2 linked regions of the Danio rerio genome follow. The protein of the gene in region 1 interacts with the protein of each later gene in a pairwise test. Links are inferred from orthologs where the notes say so. Each region holds a gene or a part of one and is shown on either strand. Other genes may lie near its edges.

What was found.
Region 2: the proteins of atpaf2 (region 1) and pkp4 interact in binary tests that used the Homo sapiens proteins (3 or more experiments, as listed by UniProt). The two-hybrid records come from large-scale screens. The link is inferred for Danio rerio from reciprocal best matches to the Homo sapiens genes ATPAF2 and PKP4.

Annotation. Positions count from the first base shown.
Region 1 is NC_133187.1:20,031,268-20,044,010, forward strand, and holds atpaf2 (ATP synthase mitochondrial F1 complex assembly factor 2), read right to left. Parts: upstream 6,321-12,743; 5' UTR 6,077-6,320; coding exon 5,941-6,076; intron 5,861-5,940; coding exon 5,816-5,860; intron 5,705-5,815; coding exon 5,556-5,704; intron 3,615-5,555; coding exon 3,517-3,614; intron 3,428-3,516; coding exon 3,347-3,427; intron 3,252-3,346; coding exon 3,139-3,251; intron 3,049-3,138; coding exon 2,933-3,048; intron 2,852-2,932; coding exon 2,714-2,851; 3' UTR 2,432-2,713; downstream 1-2,431. UniProt on the Homo sapiens protein: Plays a role in the assembly of the F1 component of the mitochondrial ATP synthase (ATPase).
Region 2 is NC_133181.1:13,202,291-13,214,911, forward strand, and holds part of pkp4 (plakophilin-4), read right to left. Parts: exon of another isoform or gene 12,512-12,621; intron 12,014-12,511; coding exon 11,817-12,013; exon of another isoform or gene 11,311-11,816; coding exon of another isoform or gene 11,275-11,310; intron 6,856-11,274; coding exon 6,423-6,855; intron 1-6,422. UniProt on the Homo sapiens protein: Plays a role as a regulator of Rho activity during cytokinesis. May play a role in junctional plaques.

The sequences.
Region 1 (12,743 bases):
AAACTGGGTGTGAGAAATAATCGCAGTGTACACTTGCTAGCAGGCTAATTCCAGCTGCTAATTAAGAGTAGTTCTTCATCTTTCTTAAACTCAGCTTTTTTACCTAGCTAGAATCGCGTTGAATAATTTAGCCATTTGCTTTGTTAAAAAACACATTGAGAGTTATCTGTTAGAGCAGTTAGCATGAATGAGCATTAGCCGTTAGCTAGCTAACTGACTGGCTATCCATGTTGAGCTTTGCTTTGAAGTGCCCTCAACAAAATACATTTCTGCAGGAGCTTACTTGCAACAGCACAATTTTGATGTATGATTTAATATCTGATAAACATACCAATGCAGTGTCCCACCGGAGTACTATATGGGTTTCCCAGCAAGAACTCCATCTTGTCAACATACCCATCGACTAACACTCAATGAGACGGTAAACACAAAAGTCCCGCCCCCGGACGATCCTCATTGGTCGCTTAATTCAGGACAGCGCAGGTATTGGCCGAACACACAGTATGTCATTGGAATGACACGCCAGCTAATTAAAGGAACAGTAGTGATTCCGTTTACGTGACTTTGCTTGATTATCACAGGTACGTTTGATATTTTATGGCACATACGGTGTTTACGTTATGGATTAGATTGTATTTCAGACTATGCACTTAGGTCAACCGATGTTTTAATGTGACTTTGATCTTAAAGGGAGAGCTCGGCCAAAATGAAAATGTCTGGTTTTACTCATTCTCAAACCATTCAAGATGTGTTTTTTTTAGCTGGGTATTAAAGATTTTAAGCAATTTTTTGGTCCTTTGTAGTTCAGTAGTTATAACACCACTTTATAAAACCTCAAAGTTTAATCAGGAGCCACAGGCATCAATTTAGTTTAGACCATATTGGGGGTAATGCACATGTAGCGTGAGTTACGTAATAATATTACTTTTCTTAATAACGAGTAAAGTAAGGCATTACTAAAAAAGTAAGAACATTTGAGATACTTTTTAATTCATTTAAATAGCTCTTTAACCCCCCCCCCCCCCTTTTTCATAAACATTGCGCCTCCTTACTACAAACCATTTGAGTTAAAAAACTAAGCCAAATGAGTACTGTGAACTTAATCCATTTGACTAAAAGACTCAAACCAACTGAGTACTGTAAAACTCAATAAATTAAGTCAACTCAAACCGTTTGAGGAAACCGATTGCAACAAAGCATTTAAGTAAAAAAAAAAAAATAGAAAAAATTATATTAGAAAAAAAAAAATCCGTATGAGTACTGTGAACTTACTCTAAGTTTAAGTATTTAATTAACTTATTACCTTCAACACTGAGTTCAAAACTCTTCAAATGAGTAAAAATAACTAACTGAAATTTTGAGTTAACTACACTTATTTAATTTGATAAAGTGAATAGAGCTCTGTGTGATAAAGCTATTTAAAAATATTTTTATGTGAACATTTTTAGAGGTAAATGTAGCTGTAAGAAAGAAACAAACATGTTCTGAAAGAGATCAAGCCTCAGCCAGGTAATAAAAAGTAACGCAAAAATTGCTTAAATGTAATGTAACGTATTAACATAAAAGGTAACACAACTAGTTACTTTTTATTCATTACTCAATATTGTAATGCATTACTTTCTAAAGTAAATTTCTCCAACACTGGTTTTGCATACATACTGTATATATACATATATAAATATATATATATATATATATATATATATTTTTTTTTTTTTTTTTTTTTTGGACGATCAGTGTTTGTAACTATTAACTTGCTTGTTATAAATCACCGGTTTTAGCTGAAAATTTTTGTACTGAAGAAAACAAAGCTATAAATCTAATGGCCTGAGGTGGAATACAATTTACTTTTTTTTTTTTTTTTTTGTATTACTTGTGGCCAGTTTTACCAGATTTCTCAGAGTGGAATGCTGAATGGGAACTGTATGAATCTTGTCCCTGCTAGCTAATGTGTTTTGAATACATTCTGACTTACTTTCGTAAGTTAAATGTAATGGGTGAGGCATCAGTTTATTTAAAAAATGTTTTACAGATTAATTGAGGTTTATTTGAGATTATTTGTTCATTCAGGTTTTTAAATTGCTTTAACTATAGTAAATCACAGACACCAGAACTAGCCTGACAGCACAGGCCCTGTCTTGACTAACTACACATTCTTCAATACAGAATTGTGAAATAAACTATGACATGTTTGGCTGCAATTGATTTATGTTATTTTTTATGTGACAGACAACTTTACTAGTGCTCAGCAATTGGCCATTTTCGGAAATGTTAAATGAGGCACAATTTTTATCTTTTTTTTTTATTGGAAAACTAGAAATGGAGCAGAAATCTAGTACTATCTCAGGAATAAAAAGAAATGCCTGGTCACTCTATTTTTGGGAGGACTATTTCATTTTGTAACTGTGTAGGAAAAAAGTCGTAGACACAATTAGATGTTTGTACTTTGTAATTTATTAAAATGTTTCTTTCTTTTCCCCAACATACAGCTTAAACATTTACATCTTTGAAATTGAGTTTGAAATACTGGGTTTTAGCATTTACAGTGTTTCCATGTGATAGCTGTTGACACTATAAATACATATCATGACCTTAGAAATCTGTATTATTTCTCAAAACATAACTACTGGTTAGATAACTAGTGTCACTGTAAAAACAAAAACAGATAACAATTCCCAAAGTTTCAGACCCACACAGTCTATTTTTGGCATTATCAGTCTTGTAAGATTTTTTTCTTCACAGATGTTTTTTCAGATGACAGATGCACAAACAATGCACCAGCCGCCGTTCGCGCTCGCAGCTCATACATGTCATAATCATGGACCCACTCCACATTTCCCCAGCTCCGAATCTAAGACAGAACACAATGTATAGTAATTATTACCACAGGAACAATATGGTCTCAATCTTAAAAGTAATTTAATCAAAATACCTGGTATTCTTCCTCAAGTCTGGACAACAGAACCGCTTCTTCCACATTTAGGTGTCTGTCAATCAGCGCAAAGGACAAAACCAGCGACTTCAGCTGATTGATCACAAACTCAAGCCCTGAGGAAAAATCAAGCACATTCACATAAGATTTACACAAAGTCTATTGTAAACAAGCTCATTTACATGAGATACAAAGAACCAACGTACCTGTCAGAGACCAGAAGTTGAAGGAATTAAGGTGCTGATGAAATGTCTCTTTAGTCTCTTCTGGGATTTGAGGGCCCATTATATTGGAGGACGAGCCAATGACTACATTGTACCTAAAAACAACAGTACGTTCTTATATACCAGTAAATTGTAACTTTTTGTAATTATTACACAATCAAAACTCTGACCAAAAATCTGTCAATTTTACCTTTGTTCAATCCAGTTCATCACAGGGTCCCATTCATTTGTCTGAAGTTCCACAAGGCCTGGAGGTTCTTCTACTCTGTAACTGCAAAGCGAGGTACAATTGATGTAATGAAACCTTAAAACCATCAGCTGATGCATAAATGAAATACTATACCTAATCAGTGAGCATACCAGATAGTGTCTGTTTCTAAAAACTTCAGAGCGGCAGAGATCATCTGTTCTTTTGTCCTTTGTGTTGGATTATCAAGAGCAGTGTTACAAAGGGTGGTCTGTAGGGACAGAAATCAGTCTATTAGATTCTGCTATTCATTTAACATTATGAATGTTGGGAATACTGGGAATGAATGTACTATCAGAATATACACACACTGATTTTATATGTACTTGTGACAATGTTTTAGATACATTATCCATTAGTATTTAATAATAAATATCTTTATTTAACCAGGTAAATCAATTAAGAGAACCAATTCTCATCTAAAATGACAACCAGGTGAAGAAAAAAGACACATGCAAATAATAACATATAAAAAATAGATAAATAAATAAAAAAAACTAGGAGCAAATGCAAATATCTTTAACTACATAAAAGGTCAGTTCACCCCAAAATGAAAATTATGTTATTAATAGGGTGGAACCGATTTGGAATTTTTGACCGACAACAATAACCGATAACTATTTAGAATGGGGTATATGCACACAATCTTTTAATTTCAGCCTAACAGGGCCTCCGTCTTTCCATTATAAAGTTGCCATGTTTGAGGTCAGTTTTTTTGTTTGTTTTTTAATCAGTGACCTTCACTGCCTGATAGATATAGATATATGAGTCTCAGACAAAAAGCACTGCGTTAAATTCTATTCCCCCGTCATATCTTTAAAATATAACAATTAATTTCACCCCAGTATAGGAGTTTCTGCGCTCGCCTGCTGATCCTGATGGCGCTAGCGGTTACACAATCTTTCATCTTGTTTTATGGTTGAACAACTAAATGAATGCTTGTATCTATTTAACTGAATGTTTTGTCATCAATGCATCGATAGTGTAAAACATCGATGCTGTAAAAGGAACCTTATGAAAATGAAAAGTCACATTAAGCTTTTTCAAAATGAAATGTGCATCTTGGCGTTTTCATCAACCGGTTTTCTATGCGCATATTGCAAAATTACCATAAAAATAGGTGGATGGAAACATAGATGAATGAATAGGAAAAGACACAATATGCAGACATTTTTTGCAATTTCTGCAGAGATTGATTTTAGGAGTATCATAACTACAGCATTAATATATTAAATAAAAAACAACACATTTTTTAATTTTATTTAATGTTTACAGTGCAAATCCAATTGCATCCACCTATTTGGTAAAGAAAGCAATACATCATATACCTACAAAAAGACAGAAAATATTACATTACTAACTGTATTGTTAATAAATCATATGAACATTTTAATAGTACTATTATTATAACACAATAATATTAGTGAAATTAATAAAAAAAAAAAAACTAAATAAATATAAATTCACACACAATTAAACAAGTGAATACAGTAAATACACCGAATGATGGGCTAAAGATCTGCGGAAATCTGCAGATTTCTGTACACGCATATTCCGTGTGGGCCTACTAATGAGGTGATAAACCGCTGAATGAAGTAAGTATTTTTTCTTTAAGTGTGCACAAAAGTACATTGCTGTCTATATGAAGGGTGAGTGAGCTCTCAGATTCCATCTAAAATATCTTAATCTGTGTTCCAAAGATGAAAGAAAGTCCCAGAGTATTGTTGTTGACCAAATTATAATTTTTGGCTGAACTACCCCTTTAACTGAATAGAATTTTTAAATGATTAAAATAGAATTTAAAAAAAAACTAAGCTTTCAGTTTTATTTATACCTAAAATCTGTACTTTTTAGGGGGTTCTTGAATGGAATCGTCTGCAGCAGAAAATTAAAAAGAAAAAACACCAAAAAAGTACAGATTTTGGGTATAAATAAAGGTACTAGTCTTGTAGACTTGTAATACTGTAAGTTTCAGTTCTGAAGAGTGTATAAAAATATGTGTTCCATGCTACTATGTATGTATTATAGATACATTTGAATGTACTCTGTAGACAGTTGTAGAATAAAACTTTCAAATATACTAGTAGTACTTGGGAAACCAAAATATAGTATAATAATAATAATATAATATAAATTAAAAATAATATCCTACCAAGTGCATAGTGTAAAACTTCAATGTGTCCTTTTGAACGTCCCACTCATTTGCAACAGCAATGGCAAGAGCTTCATTGGGAACTGTGAATAGTTTTCCACTTGGGGTCTTCAGCTTTCTCTTATCAAGGTTTATTTCAAACAAGCCACCTATAAACAAGAAAATCTGTGTTTTCATATGAGCAAACCCTCGATCTTCATCATTGAAAACATGTTTCTTTTAAGGTGCTGTTATGGCCATCAGTACTGAATGATGCTCACCTTCACCTTGAGTTATAGATACAGTCTCGTAGAACTTTTTCCTCTCTGCAAAACACAATGCAAGTACAAAGATATTAATATATTTGTTTATCATTTTAAGTTATTTTTTTCTTTTTATATCTTACCTGCTGTAGCACTGCTATATTTTGCCTTTTGTAGCTGTGTTGATAAACTGGGAACATGCTTCACGTAAGAAAATGAAAACGGCCAAATAATTGCCTGGCCAAACTTTGTGTGATACCGACATATATTTCGTAGCATATTTTAAACGTTATGTGTGTAAATTTGTATTTGTATTGATGCCACAGTTTAGGCGTGATAAGCCATTCAGTCAAGGTTAAAAAGCCGGATATGGTGTTATATTAAATTTGACAATGCATTTTTCATGTTTTAATCGTATAAATTACAAGAAATGAGTATATCTGAGATAAACTCAATTATTCAAGCAAATACACTAGAAGGTATTTAAAGGCATGCAGCAAAGTGAAAACAGCGTGCCGTAAAGTGGACTGACGATGACCTAAACAGGAAAAAGCATAGAGGATAATTCATAATAAAAGTCCATAGCTATATAAATATCTATGAGAAAAGTCCAACATTTCGAACATTCATTTAGCGCCAAACTTTCAGAATGGGTTACCAGGGACAAAAGAGAGTGATATACCTATTAAAATATTTTGATTTTAATAATTAAAAATAGCAATTGAATAATTAAAAAGATTAAAATAATTCTATATAGTTTTTAAATAATAAGCACACATTATAATACAAAATAAAAGAGAAACAGAAACAAATTGATAAAACAGCATAATAATTAAACGATTATTAAATATTTAATAGCATACAATACATTATTATATTTTATTTAAATAAAATAAAACAATAAATTATATATCAAAATAAAATAAAACAAATAAGAATATAATAATAAAAAATTTCAGTTTTCAAAACATTAACTTCAGGTAACTTCCTTAATTTTTTTTAACAAAAATGTTTATGTTTTAATGTGGGGGCAATGATATTAAAATGTTTGTGGCATCTAAAAGTTGGGCGGGAAAGTCCTGCTCTAAATATTAAAAATTAACATAGCTTTAAATAACTTAAAATATTTGTTAAAAATGTTATTCTTAAATACATTTTTTGGAATATTTAAATGAATATATTAGTGAATATTTATATGTTGCTACTATAAACTGGTTTATTCACCTTTCTTTTGCTTCAGTTTTATTATCTCTATCTTATATGTTTTTTTCTTTCTTTCTTTCATTAATTTGTTGGTTTGTTAAAACATGGAAAAAATTACACAATTTATAGAGCAGACATTTACATTACACTTAGTTATTACCTAATTATTTATCTACTATGTACAAGACAAATGCAAAAAGAATTAAATAATATCTTGTTTTAAAATCTTCATGTTTATTATCAGTTTGTTCTGCTTATTTAATTTATTTTATATATTCTAGAGAAAGAGAGAGAAATAAATAAATCAAATAAAAAGAAAAATAATACATAAAATAAAAATCATTAATTTCAAGTATACAAAAACCCTCCAGGGACACACATGAGTTGATGGGGCAGCAGTAGGGTAATGCACCAGAACTGATCTAAGGAACAGCATAGCGCCCTCTTTTGGTTGTGTTTCTGATTTGTTTGATTGTCCTCTGTTCTTCAGCATGATAAAAACATTTCATTATCAACATTAACTAATTCCACAATGAATATATATATATATATATATATATATATATATATATATATATATATATATATATATATATATATATATTGGCCTATATATTAGTGAAATAGACTAAAGAATCTAAAAAGGATTATATTGTTCTTTTGAAATATCACAGATTTCACCAATATATGAATAAATAAGAGATATAAATTGAAACATAAGTCTATAGTTTATCTATAGAGTAGTCTATACATGTAGCCTACAACACATTACAATATACATAGACCTACTGTATGTTTAGTTCATGTGTTGTGAGTTGAAAGTTTTGTGTGGAGTTTGCATGTTCTCCTCCCCTTGTTCGCATGTTTCCTGGATGCTCCGGTTTCCCCCACAAGACCAAATTGGGAAAGGTGAATTGGGTAAGCTAAAATTGTCCCAGGTGTATGTGTGTGAATGAGTTTGTATAGATGTTTCCCATTGATTGGTTGCAGCTGGAAGGGCATCCATTGCGTGAAACATATGCTGGATAAGTTGGCGTTTCATTCAGCTGTGGCGACCCCAGATTAATAAAGGGACTAAGCCAAAAAGAAAATGAATGAATGAGGGTTTTTTGGGGGGAAATTTACTTTCTCTGTTTATTGTGCAAGAGAACACAGTAAACATCTGAAACTTGAACAAAAGTCGAATCAATTATTTTCCCAATAGTATCTGGATACAGTCTTGGATATGCCCGTTTAGACACGTAGTTTCAGACATGCAGTCTCAGACACAATGCACTCAATAGAGCTAGTGACGTCACTGTGAGGGTTATGGGTTGTGTTAGGTGTGCGCATTAAAACAATATGGTACTACACGTTAGAAACATTCATTCATTCATTTTCTTGTCTGCTTAATCCCTTTATTAATCCGGGATTGCCACAACCAACTTATCCAGCACTTTTTTGCACCAGTTGCAACCCATTTCTGGGGAACTTCCACACTCAAAAAAATGATTTGTTGGACTTACATAAAAAAAGAGTGTCAAGTGGTTCCACGTAACTGTGTTGAGTAGTTTCAACAAGTAACAATATAGTTAAATGAACTAAAGAAATCCAGGTAAAGTTTACAAAATATTTCTTAGTACATTCAACCCATTTAGATGTGTCATTATTGCATTTTAGTTTTATGTATATTTTACTTAGTAATGTTATGTTAGAATTATGAACTTTTAGTATGTAAGGTGAACACTTTATTTATATATATATATATATATATATATATATATATATATATATATATTTCACTTCTAATGTATGTGCTCTACAAGTGTAAAACTTAAATAATCAAACATATTTTTAGAAACAAAATGAATTTATTTTCTTTGCAATGTTTTGCAACATACAACTGCTAAAAACCCATAAAACAATTTCAATTTCCTTTGAAACAAACACACTAAAACATCAGATGCTTTCAGTTAACATTTACAGGGTCTTTTAAAGTGCAACTGGCTTTAAGAATCTGAAATAATCTTACTTTGAAAAATATTGTACATGGAATGTTAAAATACTGCTAAAATTCATTTCTGATCTTTACAATCAACAGTGAGAGTAACATTAAAACTGGCCTCTATTTTTGTAAACATTCTCAAACAGTTCAAATAAAAGTACAAAAAGAAAGAAAAAAATGCAAAAGCAACATTTGGTCAATAGTGAACATTCTTACAATGTGCTACTTCAAATATTGGAAGAAAAATGTATAAGAGCAAATTTACAAAAGTAATTTGACATTTTTTTCCAGTGTCACAAAATGCTACAATGCTCAATTGCTGATATTTCAAAAGGTTTAATATATTGTTAAAGTATACAACTGACCTTTATTTATGAAAACCACCACAAAACAACAGCTTGTTTAAAAAAAATAAACATAAAAAAAATTATAAAAGAAGTTTTACTATTGACCAAAATGTTCTTTCAATATGTGCAACTGCAAGTAATAAATTTTACTTTGAACAAGAAAAGGAAAGTTTAAGACAAGCAGCATAAGAATTTAAAAAAAGCAAAGAAAAGAATAAAACTGAAAATCTGAATCTTTGTAAATAATCAAACAATTATAACCATTTAAAGATGTAGAACTCCATTTAAAACTTTGGTGCCATCGTTATAGATAACTTTAAAATTGGCCCTTAATTTTAAAACTAGAAACAATTTAAGTGTCTCAAAAAAGCTTCTTCCTCTATTTCTTTCATTCGTCCAGAATGATGTACTGATTCAGCCAACAAGTTTGTTTTTGAGAACTTGTATTTTGTGTGACAGTTTATGTGCAAGTCCCAGCAACACTTTCTGAAAAACTCAAAAGTGTATTTCAGGTCTGAAGGATAACTGAGATTCACGCTGTATTTGACTCTCAAAGAAAGAGAACAAGCCTTGGTGACATCGCCAAGGTTCTGAAGCACTTTTACTCCCTCAAAAATCAGTCCAGCAAATGATGGTGGGTCACAGACTTCTAAACCTTCAGGCTTAACGATGTAGATTTTAATGACAGTATTTGCCATGTCTCTCTCAAAGTCTGTCACCTACAAAACACAAAAACAGTATCACTGTTCAGTTTAATTACATCAAAAATACAGATTGTAAATTTAAAGAATTTTGTATCAACTGTCCATTCCTTAATCTTTCACATCACGCACCTGCAGTGACTTACAAAACTACTTTACTGTGTTTGTTAGGGTGGTCAAAAGTACAGGCTTCTGTACTGAATTTTAAAAAATGTGCAGAAATCATCATTCCTTCAAAGAAATTCAATTGGCCAGTGTTATTGTGCTCAACAGATGTGACTGTGATTGGCAACACTGATAATTGCCACCTTAATCTGCCTAGACAAATATGCTTGAGAATCTGCTCGACTGTGCTCAAGATTTCCCCAGAAAAATGCTAGCATCATAACAATCTTTTATTTCAGTGCAGACTGGTGCTGAAGTCTGTTCTTTTGACAACCCCAAGGTAAATATACTTTGTGTATTGATATTCCTTGACTATATTATGTGAATTCATGTGATGGCATTTTAAATATTAACTGACTGAGAACTATACTTACTGTATACTCCTTCATGAGGTTTTAATAGTCTTCATTAAGATACACAGAAAGTGCTCTGAGAATGCAAGCTCTCCAAGTTGAGATGGCATCATTCTGTAGAAGAGACATTAGGTTTATACAATGAAAAAAACACCATACTAAAGTGGAAATTATTTACAAGCATCATAAATACAGATAACAAACCTTGTCGATGGTAGCCATGAGTTTTCAAATTTTTCGTTTTGCAATTTCTTCTTTTGTACGGTAAATGCTGTCCAGCTTGCTGGTGTAACCATCCAGTTTTGAAAAATGTTTGAATTAGTGGGACAGTAGTGATTCGACTGAATTCAGCAGCAATCTGTAAATTTAAGACACAGGATTATAGTAAGAATAGCTTTCATACAAAGTACTGTCTCATTGTTTTCAGGTTCTTATAGATATGACTAAAATACTCCCATTCTGAGTCTATATGGCTGCAAGAACACACATGGCAATTGAATGTGATTACACTTGCAGGTAACCCCGTGTTCTCCTTTGCATGGCTACAATTAAGATGGCTGTGTAGTGCACTCCACGTTTTAAATCTACAGCGACATTCAGAATAAGTGCATGAAAAACGAATACCGCGACCACAATGTCTATGCACTAATCTATAGTGTTTCAACAACTGTGATCTAGTTGTGATGGTTATTTTGCAGTCTTTGCACTGCCACATGCTTTCCTTGAGAAACACGAGTCAGTATAACAGGCTAAAAATGCTAAAATTCAAAAGACTCCATAATACACTGATATAATAAATTAACATAATTCTGTGAACACTCACATCACTTTTCCTGGTGATATTTAACACTAAAGATTAATGAAAAACTCATACCTGACAAAGCCACCATCTTCTCCTCCTCATGTGCTTCACATGTTCCTCTCTCTGACTGTTCCGTTGCTCCGCCTCCAGGTAGGCAGCGACGGTATCAGCAAATATCCAATCTTAAGAGGTTTTTGCGTTTTACTCAACAATGTTAAGTTGGCCTGTCAAACCCTTATTAAGTAAAGCCTACAGTATTACATTTTTGTAGAAATAACATGGTAAACTTATGTTAATTTAATTACTATTATGTTTTATGTAATGTGAACAAGGATGGGTTTAGTAAAACTAACAATAGGGAAAGTTCATTTTTTTGAGTGCACACACATATTCACACACACACTCATACACACATAGCTAACCCAATTCACTTGTACTGCATGTTTTTGGACTGTGGGGGAAATCGGACCACCCAGAGAAAACCCACGCAGCCGAGGATCGAACCAGCGACCTTCCTGCTGTGAGGCGACAGCACTACCGACTGCGCCACTGCGTCGCCTACATTAGAAACAGAAAAGCTAAAAAACATACGAAGAATTATGTAAATTTTATTTGATTAAATAATATATATATATATATATATATATTATTTTTTACCTCTGTCATCTGTTTGTACTTTGATTGTATATAATTTCTCTCATTTTTATTTTTTGTTTTATCCGTTCATAATTGTTGTGAGACGTATGTTCTTGTACTAAGTTTGTGCATATTTACAATAAAAATAAAAAAAGGTGCGCATTACAGTGAAAGCATTGCATAAAGCTCAGCTTGAATTTGCTGACTTATTAACATTAGTTTTCATTGTTAATGTTGATAATTGATGACATACTGTAGTCCCACATAGTTATACAGTAGCTCAACATCAAACACTAAATCAATAAAAATGGCACACTATATTCCAAATGTTTCCATTACAATTATTTTATTTTCAAAGAAATAAATACTCTTACTTACTTGATACATCTGATCAAAAGTGACAGAAAATATTTACAGCTACAAATAATGAAAATTTCACATAAATTATACTCTTTAGAATTATTCATGTATTAAAAATCAATTTTGTCAACTGTCCAAATGTCTAAATATGTTAATGCAGAAAACAAAACAATGATCAATATGCAGCATTTGTACATAAATGTATAATATATAAACAGAGCTAATTCCCCATAACCATTGTGCACAAATCTCTACTTCATTACAATATATGAACATAAGAAATGCGGCACGGTGGTGCAGTGGGTAGCACAATCACCTCACATCAAGAAGCTCACTGGTTCGAGCCCCGGCTGGGTCAGTTGGCATTTCTGTGTGAAGTTTGCAAGTTCTTCCCG
Region 2 (12,621 bases), on another chromosome or scaffold:
TTCTTTTGCCCAAACTAAGGCACTTGTAGACGAGAGGCAAGGATTGATGTGACGACAGTGTGAAGCTCAGTAGATCAGTTATTGTGCCATTTTTACTTCACCTACTTTAAGTATTGAACACTTCAGATTTTTTCCTGAGAATAATATTTCTAAAGGAGCTGTTGACATGGATTTAAACCAGATTTTGGTAAAAACCCAAACAATACAAACATAAAAATAAAACAAAACAAAAAAATCTGAAAAATGAGTTGTGTTATAACAATGAAATGACACAAGGATTTCCCAGAGATGGGTTGTGGCTGGAAGAGCATCAGCTGTGTAAAAACTTGCTGGATAAGTTGGCGGTTTGGTCAGAATGAGCGAGTTTTAGCTACTTGTAGCATTCAGAAAAAACAAAATACCCATGAAGAAACATGACAAAGAGGAACATGAAAACATACTGCCAGCTAGCGCTCTGTAAGTGCTACATAAACATCTCTTAGAAGTATAAATGCACGACTACATGGAAGGCTTGCATCGTTGGTCACGCCAATTACTCAATGCAAAGGTATAAACCAGCCTTAAGGCTAAAAGGTACCCTAGATCGCCACCTGCATTTAAAATCCAAGCTCAGAATAGAATCTAAGAAAAAATAGCAGTGCATTTTGAACATTTCAAAATTACTGCACAATTATTTTCTTCAACAATATTTTGCCACAGCTCTACTGACAGCAGTTTATAAAGGTTTAGTTTTCACTCTGTTTTCATAAAGATCCCTATACCATGGTTAAGAATGATTGCTATATCCAAACACTACTCTATTCAAATACCCCAAAGTGCTTAAAAGATTACAGTGAGCTTCATGTCCAATAGAACAAGGAAATATCTCTACTCTGCCTTTATACAATGACTGAATGTTGAATCAGTGTAACGTCAGCATAGGAACTGGGTTCTCTCACAGAACATTTTCTCACGTCAATCAGACTGGCAATATCACAAAGCAAACTGTGAGCCGGACAAAATTGCACTGCTCGCTAACTTGGAAAAGCCATGCAGAATTCAGCGAGTTTGTCTTTCATAAATTTCTAATCGCTTCATACGTCTCCGAATTCAGCTGTAGTTCTTGCTGAAGGGCCTGGAGTTAAAAGCTTCGTTTTCAAAGGCTTTACATCATGTGTAATCTGTGGAGAAATATGGCAGAAATGGGGCAGTGGGGCACATCTGAAGAAGTATCGCACAGAGCCAGAATGGGAGATTATCATCAGCGTAATCCTACAAAACACTGGAGCAAACAAGCACAAGCATAACGTCAAGTGCACACACAAACCACACACACACACTGCAAGTCAATATCCATGCAGCTCCAGTTTCATGTGGATGTTTATTGCAGATGGAATTGAGACTGTAATACGATTTTTGAAACAATATACTACAATAATGCATCACAGCACTTTTGATTCACAAACTCATATGCACGCATCAAATCTCCTAATCGGAGGTTTATCATGATTCGAGTAGAAGCAATTACTAAAATTCTTTCTTGTGCTTTTATGAAGGCAATTTACGCCAGTCTCCCTGCGTTTATGTCTCATTTATGTTGAAAGATATCTGAGGATTTCTTCCTGTGGCTTTTATAATTGAGATTTTAACAGACAATATACAGAACGAGCGTAGATTTAACTGAGAGACGCTTAGTAAATTCTTCACTTTTCCCATGTTTTGAAAACGTACCTCATGAGGGGAATGTTTTAGGAAAGAAAAACCCTATGGAAAGACTTTATGATCCAAACCAAACACGCTCACAGAAAGAGAGAGCAAGTGGAGAAAGTGAGAGAGAGAGATAAGTGACAGCATTACTAAACCTTATATAATCTAATGCATATATAAAGCTAAGAAGGTTTTGCACATACATAATCCATAACTTTATAAGAGTGGTGTAGAAATTTCAGTTGATAGTTCTGGCTTGGTCAGGATGGAAGAGAAAATCGGTTTATGGATTTAAGATTTATGGAATCAAGTTTTATAAATGAGAAAAACTATTTGACAAAAATCATTGATTTATAAAGTGCTGTTCGGATGTTTGTGATCATTAAGATAATTGAAAGAATTCTCTTATGCTCACTTCAACATTTGTGCTAACTACAAAAATTTAAATACAGTAATGCTGTGAAATGTAATACCCCTGTGACAACAACACCGAATTTTCAACTGCCAATCTTCTGTCACATGAACCTTCGAAATGTTCAAAGACATTTCTTTTAATCACAGTTGTAATAGAATGTCCTGCTCAATATTTCTACAGAAACTGAGCTTTGTTTTAGGATTGCATAATATATCTGAAAATATTAGTTATTGTGATAATAGCATGTGCAATATATGTATCACACACATGTGTGATAAATCACATTTATTTTATGCACTGGTCATCTATCTAAATTTGACCAATCAGATGGGGACTTACTATCTTTATCCCCACCTCCTCATTAGTCGATGTTCTTTCTATTGGCTGGAGCTGCCCAAATGATGAAACCAGAGCTGAAAAAATAAACACTGATGGCGGAAATCGAGACGAGAGGAAAATGACAACAGCCAGTCAGAGTCAGAATATCTGCTGAGGTTTTCACTCATTCATAGTGTTTTAAAGACTTAAGCTGGATTAATACATCCGCCAGGCACCTCTGCGCACCTCTGCTGATTGTGTGCTCACCTCCCGAAACGGACAATGCTTTTATACTTGCTCCATTCACCGTTGTGAAATTTTTTAAGGCCGTACTCACACTAGTTACAGTTGCCTCGAACTGGGCTAAAGCACGCTTGTCCCCCCTCCCGTCTCCCTCGACAGCCCGCGCTAACACCACAAACGGGCCTCGGCACGCTTACGTCATCGCTGCTGTGCTGTTCAGTGAGAAGCGCTCTCTCACTCAGCAGCACAGTGGAGATTTCTCTAGTTATATCGTTTGAGTCGTTTGTTATGCAGTGACATGCAGTCAAATATTTCGCCAAACAGTCCTTAGGGATGCGGGGACACGCAGTCAGATATTTCGCCGAACAAATACGCCACTTTTGGCGCTCATAAACAATCATAAAGCTCTCGTGCTGCAGGAATGAGGAGGTCTGCTGAAGCCGCGCAGCTGTCGTGCTGTGAGGAGTTCTCGTCTTTAAAAAACTACGGCAGTTTGCGTTCACTAAACAGTAAGAATGAATAATAAATCCATATGAAACAGCCCCTTAAAAGTCACTTCTCGCTTTCAGTTTCGGGCTTTGGCGCGTTTTGCACTCACACACAAGCGTACCGCGCCAAAGCCCAAGTGAACCGCGCTTAGGCACACCTCTTCCAACCGGGCCAGAGCCGGCCTTGTGAACCGAGCTTGAGCCCGATTCATCGCACTCACACTTCTCAAACGATCCGGGAAACGGGCCTAGGCACGGTACGGATGGCATAGTGTGAGTAGGCCCTAAAACGACAGGGGGCGGTCAAAAGAAGCTGACCGTAAAGTCAGAAAGATAAAAAGAGAAGTAGAAAGTTTCCGGAAGTACGTCATATCATTAATATTGCTCAAGATTTTGAAACTAATTATTTGTTATATTTTTTTAAATGATTTTAATGATTATAATAATTTTTTATAACCATTCAAGATTTTTTAAATCAATTTTTAATGCATCAATTGCTATTGTTGTATATTTGGGACAGTTTTACCAATTAAAGTTTATTAAAATATTAATGAAAGGAGAACATGGGTTACTCTACAAATATTTATTATGGCAAGATTAAAAGTACCTAGGGCTGGGCGATTTAGCAAAAAAAAAAAAATCTAGGTTTTTTATAAAGTTTGACCGATTCACGATTTCGATTTTTTTTATTTTTTATTATGTAACTTTTTTTATTGTGTAACTAGTCTTCTCAAAACATTACAACAACATGACTGAAAGTAACTTGAAAAACCATCTGGTTAAGGAACATTGTATTTTAAATGGGCATGTCAAAAAAAAAATCGGTCAAGGTGTAAAAAATAAAACAAACTCACGAGTTAAATATCGTTGCAGAAGATTTGAATAAGAAATATTTGTGTAAATATTGCGGTTGCAGGAATACAGAGGTATTTTTTGCAAGTTTTGCTGAGCCTAGGAAAGATTGGCTGTCGGCTCGGCTTTGACTTTGTCTTCTTCTGATTGAATGTCAGGTTGTAAAGCTGCTGCCTTTTTCTTAAAAAGATACAGTGGAAGAAAAGGACTGAACATGGAAACTGTAAAGCCTAATTTAACCCAATGTGTGAAGTTGTGGACGTATAGTAGGAGCAAATACAAGCACCAGATGTGTGTCTAATATAAAATAATATATTTAATCTATTTTTCTTTTTCCCCCCTTTTAAATACTGATCATTTGATGCGCTTTGCTCCACTCTCTGTATTATGCTGCCTGATCTGTCTGGTTTTCAACTAGGTCCGCTAAATGACGTCATGGGGGCGGGTACTTTCATTTTCACTGCTGCAGGCCCTCACCTCTGCTCGTGTTCAAAACAAAAGATCGGCGCGGTTTTTCACAGGCTTTTACGTCCTTCATACATGTTGAGAACAAGTTTATCGACTTGAGGAGGGAATATGTCTTGACAATCCGCACAGACGTGCAACAAGTAAAATCCTACATGAATTCACACTTTAACAGGCAGTCAAGCAGGTCGCACACCAGAAGCGCCACGACACAGCGCGGACATGACATTTTAAACTATCACACACCAAACGCGCACATTCCCATGATATTTAACATGAAACTAATCAGATGGCGCTCTGTGGGCCGGCTGAAATGAGAACTGCTTCGTGAACCGTGGCTGGGCGGCGCCGGTGTGTGTACAGAAACCTGTTTAGAATTCTAAAATCCATGGCGTGGTGCTGTGCGGCGCATCGCCGAGAGGCGCTTCTGGTGTGCTTCCTGCTTCATACAGAGAGAGAACCAAAGCGCATTAGTGCCATTATAATGGATAAAATATATATGTTTTTTTTTTAAATCGCGATTTCTCGATTTGATTAAAAATTAAATCGTCTTAAAACGTAAATTCGAATTATTCGAAAAAATCGCCCAGCCCTAAAAGTACCCTTGCTAAAAAATACAGATGTTTTTTTATATTTTATATCTGCTTCACAATTCACACATGATTGGCTAGTTTCTGTCCTATATTGATGCTAAAAAGGCAATAATGGTTCAACATTCCTGACCATTATCACCAGTAAAGCCAAAAATATTAGAGCATCAGTATATTGTAAACCATAGTTACTTATATCAGGGTACGCACACCAGTGCCGCATGTCGGTGGCTGTTTATGGTACCCAGCTACGACTCAGGACACTAAATAGTTTTTCTTTAAATAACATGCGAATGTGTGCATCTGGTGTGCGATACTTCCAACTGTCATGTGCGTGCTATGAAGCGGCACATCTGGTGTGTGACCCCCTTAAGGCTACATCTACCTAAACCGGTTTTTGTCTAAAAACACTCCATGTCCACATTAAAATTTAAAATTCTTTCCATCATCCACACTAAAAGGACTGAAAGTGCTTTAATTCAGTACTGCGCATGCACACAGATGTAAGACAATTTTAGCTACGTCATTTACACCTGGCATTTAGTTACTTTCAGTCTCTTTAAATCTTTTCGTAACTATCGTCTGCTTTCACAGCTTAACATTAGCTCTCCAGTAAATGTTCTGTGTCCTTGGAAGAGAGGCAATATGAATCATGTATAAACTGACATAAATCATTAATAAAGCTGTAATAAAACAGACAGCATCCAAATCATCTGCTTTACAATGTCGTCCACTATGTTAGCTGAATTGGTTACATGACTAAAATGAGTCATCGTTTTCAAAAGCCTCCTTATTCAAGGTCCACACTGCAATATAAAAATGCCATTTTTAAATTTGATCACTTTGGACTGTGTTTTTAAAAACATGTTTTCATTTCCTAAAAATACCATCTCGGTGTGGACGGAAGGTCAAAACGAAGGAAAAAATATGCGTTTTTAAACTAAAACATATTAGTGTGGACATGGTTTAAATTATTGCACCTTGACACCGTTTTTTAGTCTGAATTAGAATTAATTTGATTATTTTGATATCATTAAATAAATATATTATTTCAAAACATGGCTAAGAAAAAGATTTTTTGAGGGAAATGTTATACCGTAAGAAATATCGTTATCGCAACACTAAACAACACTGCACATTATTCCAGTATCATGCAGAGCTAAATAGTTTGATAAATAAAATGTCCAACAGCATTTTAAATCTTCATAGCAAGGTGAAAGTATTCACTATGACTCTTAATCAATTCCTTTTTTTTTTATTAATTAAAAAATTCTTACTGATCTCAAACCTTTGAAACGTAGTGTATGTGTACTTTAGAAACACCTCTAATTGTAAATCATGACAGGTTGTGTGAGTATAACTCACCTGTAAGGCTGTCCGGTCTTGAAAGAACCATCCTCTCAAAGATGTCATAGGCTCGAGAGCCAAAAGAAGAGTGAGTGCTCTCATATGCACGTGTATCGTGCTTTCCCAGGGTCCCATACTGCTGAGGCTGAGCAGTCATTCCAGCTCGCAGGAGTGTTGGTGACCCAGACTCAGACCCCGTCCCGTTTCCATGCCGCCCTAGGTAGCTGGAGTGGAGCGGGTCAGGAGCGTGGCTGGAAGCAGGAGGCAAGGTGGTGCCAGGAAATATGCTAGGTAGAGGACGAGGCTCTGAGACTATGGGTGAACCATAGGGGCTTCCGAGAGAAGTACGCAGAGGCTGGCGGGACGCAGGTGGAGACGGTGTGTAGAGTGGAGATGGAGCACGAGAGGGAACAGAGCTGACCCGCCTCATGACACGCCCACTGCTGCCCACCTGAGAAACACATCACAGAGAAACATTTATAATAATAACTTTATAATTTGAACAATATAATTAACATAATAATAGTAATAATATTATTAAATTAATATCATTATTAAGGGTAAAAAGAAAACAAACATTTTTTGAGCTGTTTACAGTCATATATGTGTCCCACGCTGCTAAAAACACTATTAGGACACATATAATTTACTAAAAAGTAAAAATTGGTTGTTTTCGCGTTATTTCAAGCAAATTCGTTCTTCCATTTTGAAAATACATTTTTTTAAGCTACGTTACGATTAGATCCTTGTGTAAATTCCAGCGTGGAGACTGGATGTCTGTACCGGCCAGTACAACATGACGTCTTTGAGCTTTAAGCATTAATTCATGAGAAAGAATTCCAAGTCTTTCCAGACCACTAATCAGTGTACTCTATTGTCTATGAGGTCCACCTTTATTATTATGCATGATAGCTTTGAAGACTGTTTTTATCCGTTACAGTGTTCAGATGGCAGAGAGACGCCACATTGTGTTGCCAACCATAATTAAAACAAGTGGAAGAAGAAGAATTGTTTGGAGACATGGGTCATCAGTGTTGTTTATAAATGTGCTGCAAGAAAGGTTTTGTTTCCATTTACCCGCTAAGAAAGTACAGCTGGACTCACGTGTGGATTACAGTGGTCTGCTAACAAGCAACAGAAATCTGTTTGTAAGGAATATATTTTTTTACCCGAGAGCTTTTCGTATCTGGAAATGGAAACATCAGGAATTACCGCTCGTTTCCTTTTAAAAAAGACGCGGTTCTAGTTGGTTTTGATTGTCCTTTCTTTATAGATTTGGTAAGTGTGAGATCAGTGCTCTTTGTTTATGTTTATTCAGATGGCAAAGTTAGGTAGTATTGTCAGCAGTACTCTTTCAGTTTTTAAAGACATACCATAGTCAAAATGATTTAGTTACTAAGGGTGCTTTCACACCTACACTTTTGTTTCAGAACGTATCTCGTTTGCCCATTTAGCGTGGTTCGTTTGGCATATGTGAACAGGGTAATCGCGCTCTGTTCCGCGCCAAAGTAATCGCTCCGAGATCGCTTGAATGAGGTGGTCTCGGCTCGATTGAAACGAACCCTGGAGCGGATCGACTGCAGTGAGAAAGCGATCCGATCGCGGTTATATCACAGTGTTTTATGGATATGTAATAGGCTTACGGCTATATGAAGAGAGAATTATGAGCAGGGCGGGAAGTTTCGCGAGTCTCCGGATGCCCGCAAACAAGTGATGATCTCCCGGTAATCTTGCGTCTCCCTCCCGGTCCCCAAATAGGCATCGTCACGCACCCTTCTAACCCCTCCCCACCGCGTCTCTCCTCAGACACGTCGCGCGCGTGCACCCTGTCAATCACCACCAAACCACCACCTCTCCTGACAGCTGAGCGGGACGCTGCAAAATAAACCCTGACACTCTGACCAATGGGAGGAGAGTTTACTCGCACGTGACTTGTTTTAGCTCTTTTGGTCCGATTAGAAACTTTGCAGTGTGAATGCGAACCGCTCCAAGAGCAAAGAGCAACAATGTAACAATTGTAATCTCTGTTTCGGAACAACTGAATCGATTCACAGGTGTGAAAGCACCCTAAGTTTACAGTACGGTAATATCACTACAATAATATGGGCTGAAACATAGACTGTAATTGCTGCTCTCTGAGTGTAAACATGTAAACACTTTAATCAAACTATTTCCATCATGTAGAATTTTCGCCGCATCTTGTGACAGGATAGTCTATACACATACAGATTTCTAACGCTACCTACAGAGTGCATCTAAGTTACCGAGAAATGCGGAAAGTTTTTTTTCTCCCATTTGCCGTGCGGTATCAAACATCCCATTAAAACTACATTCTTCCAGCAGTTCCTTGCATCCAACATCTCATTTTTCGCAGGGGGCATGCATGAAATGTTCCTGAATGTCAAACTGCAGTAAAAGTCAACAAATTAAGAATGTGGCAAATAATTTGATTACTGGTGTCCATGTAAACAGTCACTGTCTTTCTCTCCTGCGTCTGTGTGTTGTTTTAAAAATCAGCACTTGCTCAAACTGAAAACTTCCATTTTTATGCAAACCCTTCCCTCTTTTGCCACTCGACACTCCCACCTAAATAGAGCTGGAGTCACCCACTTTCCTAATTTTTTTCAAACTAGGTGTGAAAACACCCTGCTGAGACAGGGAGAGTTTAATGGCCCTTTAAACTTATAACACTCATTTAAATCTTAATACCGGGCCAATAAGATGAATGACAACTCAGTGATTTTTAAGCTTTATTTTAGTATAACCGAGATACTATTGTAGGTTTTATTTGTTTTTATTTTTGTTGTGCTATTTAAATATTTCTGTTCATTTAAATAGTTTTTATTGATTTAAATGTGAAAAGCATAAAAAAATACTTCCACAGCACTTACTCATTTTAGTTCATATTTTTTCAGCATTTACTAATACATTAAACTGGATCTTTTGTTTAATGCCAAGTCAACTTCAATGCAAACACTATTCAGAACAATACAAATAATAAATACAATAAAACAAACAAAACGTGTATCCCATTACATTTTCCATAATACAGATATTTTCTGGCAATGCTTTACTTAAACAGGTCTTTAAGTGACTTCATAAAAAGCCTTCTGCAATATATTATTAAAATAAAGATAAATATTTTGGCTAATGCATTGTGAATTAAAGCAATTTCATCTTTAATAATGTTAACTAAGATTAATAAATGTCAAACAAACATATAGCTTACTGTAAGTTTAAGTTGCCTTATATAGATAGACCTGTCATAAGGAATTTTTGTTGTGCAATATATTGTCCCAGGAATTGTTGCTATAAGCGATATTATTGTCATGTTGAGATCATTTTATGCCAATGATTGTATAATGACTATATAATAATGCATATAGTCATAAACACTTTAAAACACTTATCATTCTTAACGTTATTTAGATTGTAAAATTTGACGTTATTTCCTAGTGATGAGTTGCAGCTGGATGGGCATCCGCTGCGTAAAAAAACATATGCTGAATAAGTTGGCGGTTCATACCGCTGTGGCACCCGCAGATTAAGAAAGATACAAAGCTGAAAAGATAATGAATTTGATGTTAAAAAGGTTAAGGTCCTATTATATATACTATTAAATGTCTTATAAGGTAAATGTCCAGTTATAAATGTTGACACTGGCAAGGTAGAACGTAAACGTAATAGTAAAATGGCTTTAACATTATTTGTGAATTTGTAAAAATATATTGCAATGACAATAATTATTGAGGTGATATTCAAGTATTGCGCAATAAAGTCGATATAATGATTATTGTGACAGGCCTCAGCTTATATATTATATAATGTCAACAAAATGAGTTTTAGTGAATTTTTTTTTATATCAGGAGAAAGAAATTTTATTTTTTAGTTAGGGTTGAACAAAGTTCAAATAAAAAAAACTATAAATATTATATTGACAACTAACTGAAACAAATAATTTTTTTAGTAATTTATTCATTTATTTTATTTTCGGCTTAGTTCTTTTATTAATCCGGGGTCACCACAGCGGAATGAACCACCAGCTTATCCAGCACATGATTTAAGCAGCGAATGCCCTTCCAGCTGCAACCCATCTCTGGAAAACATCCATACACACTTATTCACACTCATACACTACGGATAATTTAGCCTACCTAATTCACCTATACCACATGGTCTTTGGACTGTGGGGGAAACCCATGCGAACGCAGGGAGAACATGAAAATTCCACACAGAAACGCCAAATTAATTTATTTTCATAGTGAAATTAAAGGGATAGTTCAACCAAAAACGAACATTCTGTCATTATTTACACACTATCCACTTGTTCCAAAAAATCTTGTGACAATTTTGAATACAAAAGAAGATATTTTGCAGAATGTTGGAAACCGGTAACCATTGGCTACAAGAGTATTTATTTTTTGTCAACAATGGATGTCAATGGTTGCAGGTTTTCAGCTTTCTTAAAAAATATCTTCTGTGTTCCACAGAAGAAAGAAACTCAAAGGTTTGTAACCAACTGAGGGCTAGTAAATAGTGGGTCAATTTTTGATTTTGGGTGAACTATCCCTTTAATGTTACAGTTTTAGTCTGTCACACCATAAACCAAACATAACAAACCATCAGCAAGCATATTAAAACCTTCTTGTAAAATCTCTTGGCAAAGCATTGTTTTGGTATGATAACAAGAATGGCTTTCTACACGTCTTATTGCTTTCAAAAGTTAACACTGAGCTTTTATTTTGGAGGAAAGCAGGAAGTGCTTAATGCTTCTCGATAAAACTACTCTCATAACAAATTTGACATAGTTACAACGTTACGTTTCAAACCAAGTAGTTTGTACTGTACTTTATAAGCGACCCAAACTCACAGCGTTTGCAGAGAAGGAGTACATATGGAGCAGCATTTGCTGTGACCAAATCCGCTCTGAAAACACCGGATCCCCGCATATAGACACACACTGCGCCGCGCTTCACCAAACATACCACGCCTCATCCTATTTCTGTACTTAAAGCTCAGACTTTGCTGTTAGAATGGCAGTTTCATAACATCTTTCCATATTATTATTATTATTATATCGCGTTTAATAGCGGCTCAGCGAGTAAATCTCAGACCCTCTCTGAAATACAGGAGTGTCCCACGCGCACACTCGCTAGAGGGCGCCGCTTTATCCTCCCGGGCTGTCGGAAGAAATCCGTGGATGAGAAGTATTTGAAAAGCAGGATTTTGCAGTTTGTTTAGTGACTGTTCAAGACAACTTTGCGAGTCACGTACATCAGAAAAACTCAAGTCGGAATACAATTCTACATCGCTCATAACAATGGACATATATTATTCAGTGCTAATGATCCCTGAAAAAAACAAACACGCCAGGAAACGTTAATATAGTGGTGTTTGAGTGAGTTTTCATACCTGTGCAGAGGCCTGTCCTTCAGCCCTGGAGCTCATGGCGAGGGTGGGGCTTCCGCTGGGGGCGGAGCTGGTCGACTGTGACCTCCCTTCAGACCGCCTGGGCGTCACCGTGTTACTGTAGTAACCGCTCACCTCCTGATATCCGCTATCTGAGTAGGAATTCATCTGAGTCGAGCTGCGCGAGTTTGCAGCAGACCCTGAGCAAGCGAGAACAACAAAACACTGAGACAGGCAACTGATTTTTCAGTTCAGGAATGGTAAAACATTTGAACTATGGATTGCTGGGTTAAAGCTCCATCAATTGAATCCGTGGCCTGTGTTCGATTATACAGCAAATAACGCCTCATCGCGCAGGCTGTAAAAGCAAATGAGAATACACACACTTTGATACCAAGTCTACGTTAAACCTAACATGTTGTGATACTTGTTTTACTGTAGTATCAGCAATATTTGCGAGTGATCATTCTTGAGCAGCTGCAGTAAACGGCTCCAGCTCTCATTAATGTAAACAGACGGGATAAAAGCGGAATGTTTTGCTGTGCCTGAGGCCACAGTGTGTTAAAGGTACATATTTATTCAGTAGTTGGCTAACATTAGCAAAGCTGTTCTTCGTGTTGTTAGAAACTGCACTGCCATCTATCGACGTGGCTCGAGTTTATGCAGATATCACGCATTAACTGATTCTCTTAACTTACCTGTCTAATAAAATTGCATCAGCCATTTAACCCGTTGTACGTTGAATCGATGTTTACGCTCATATTTGTCTTTGTTGGTGTTTCTGGCTTGCGACCGTTTCTGCTTTCTC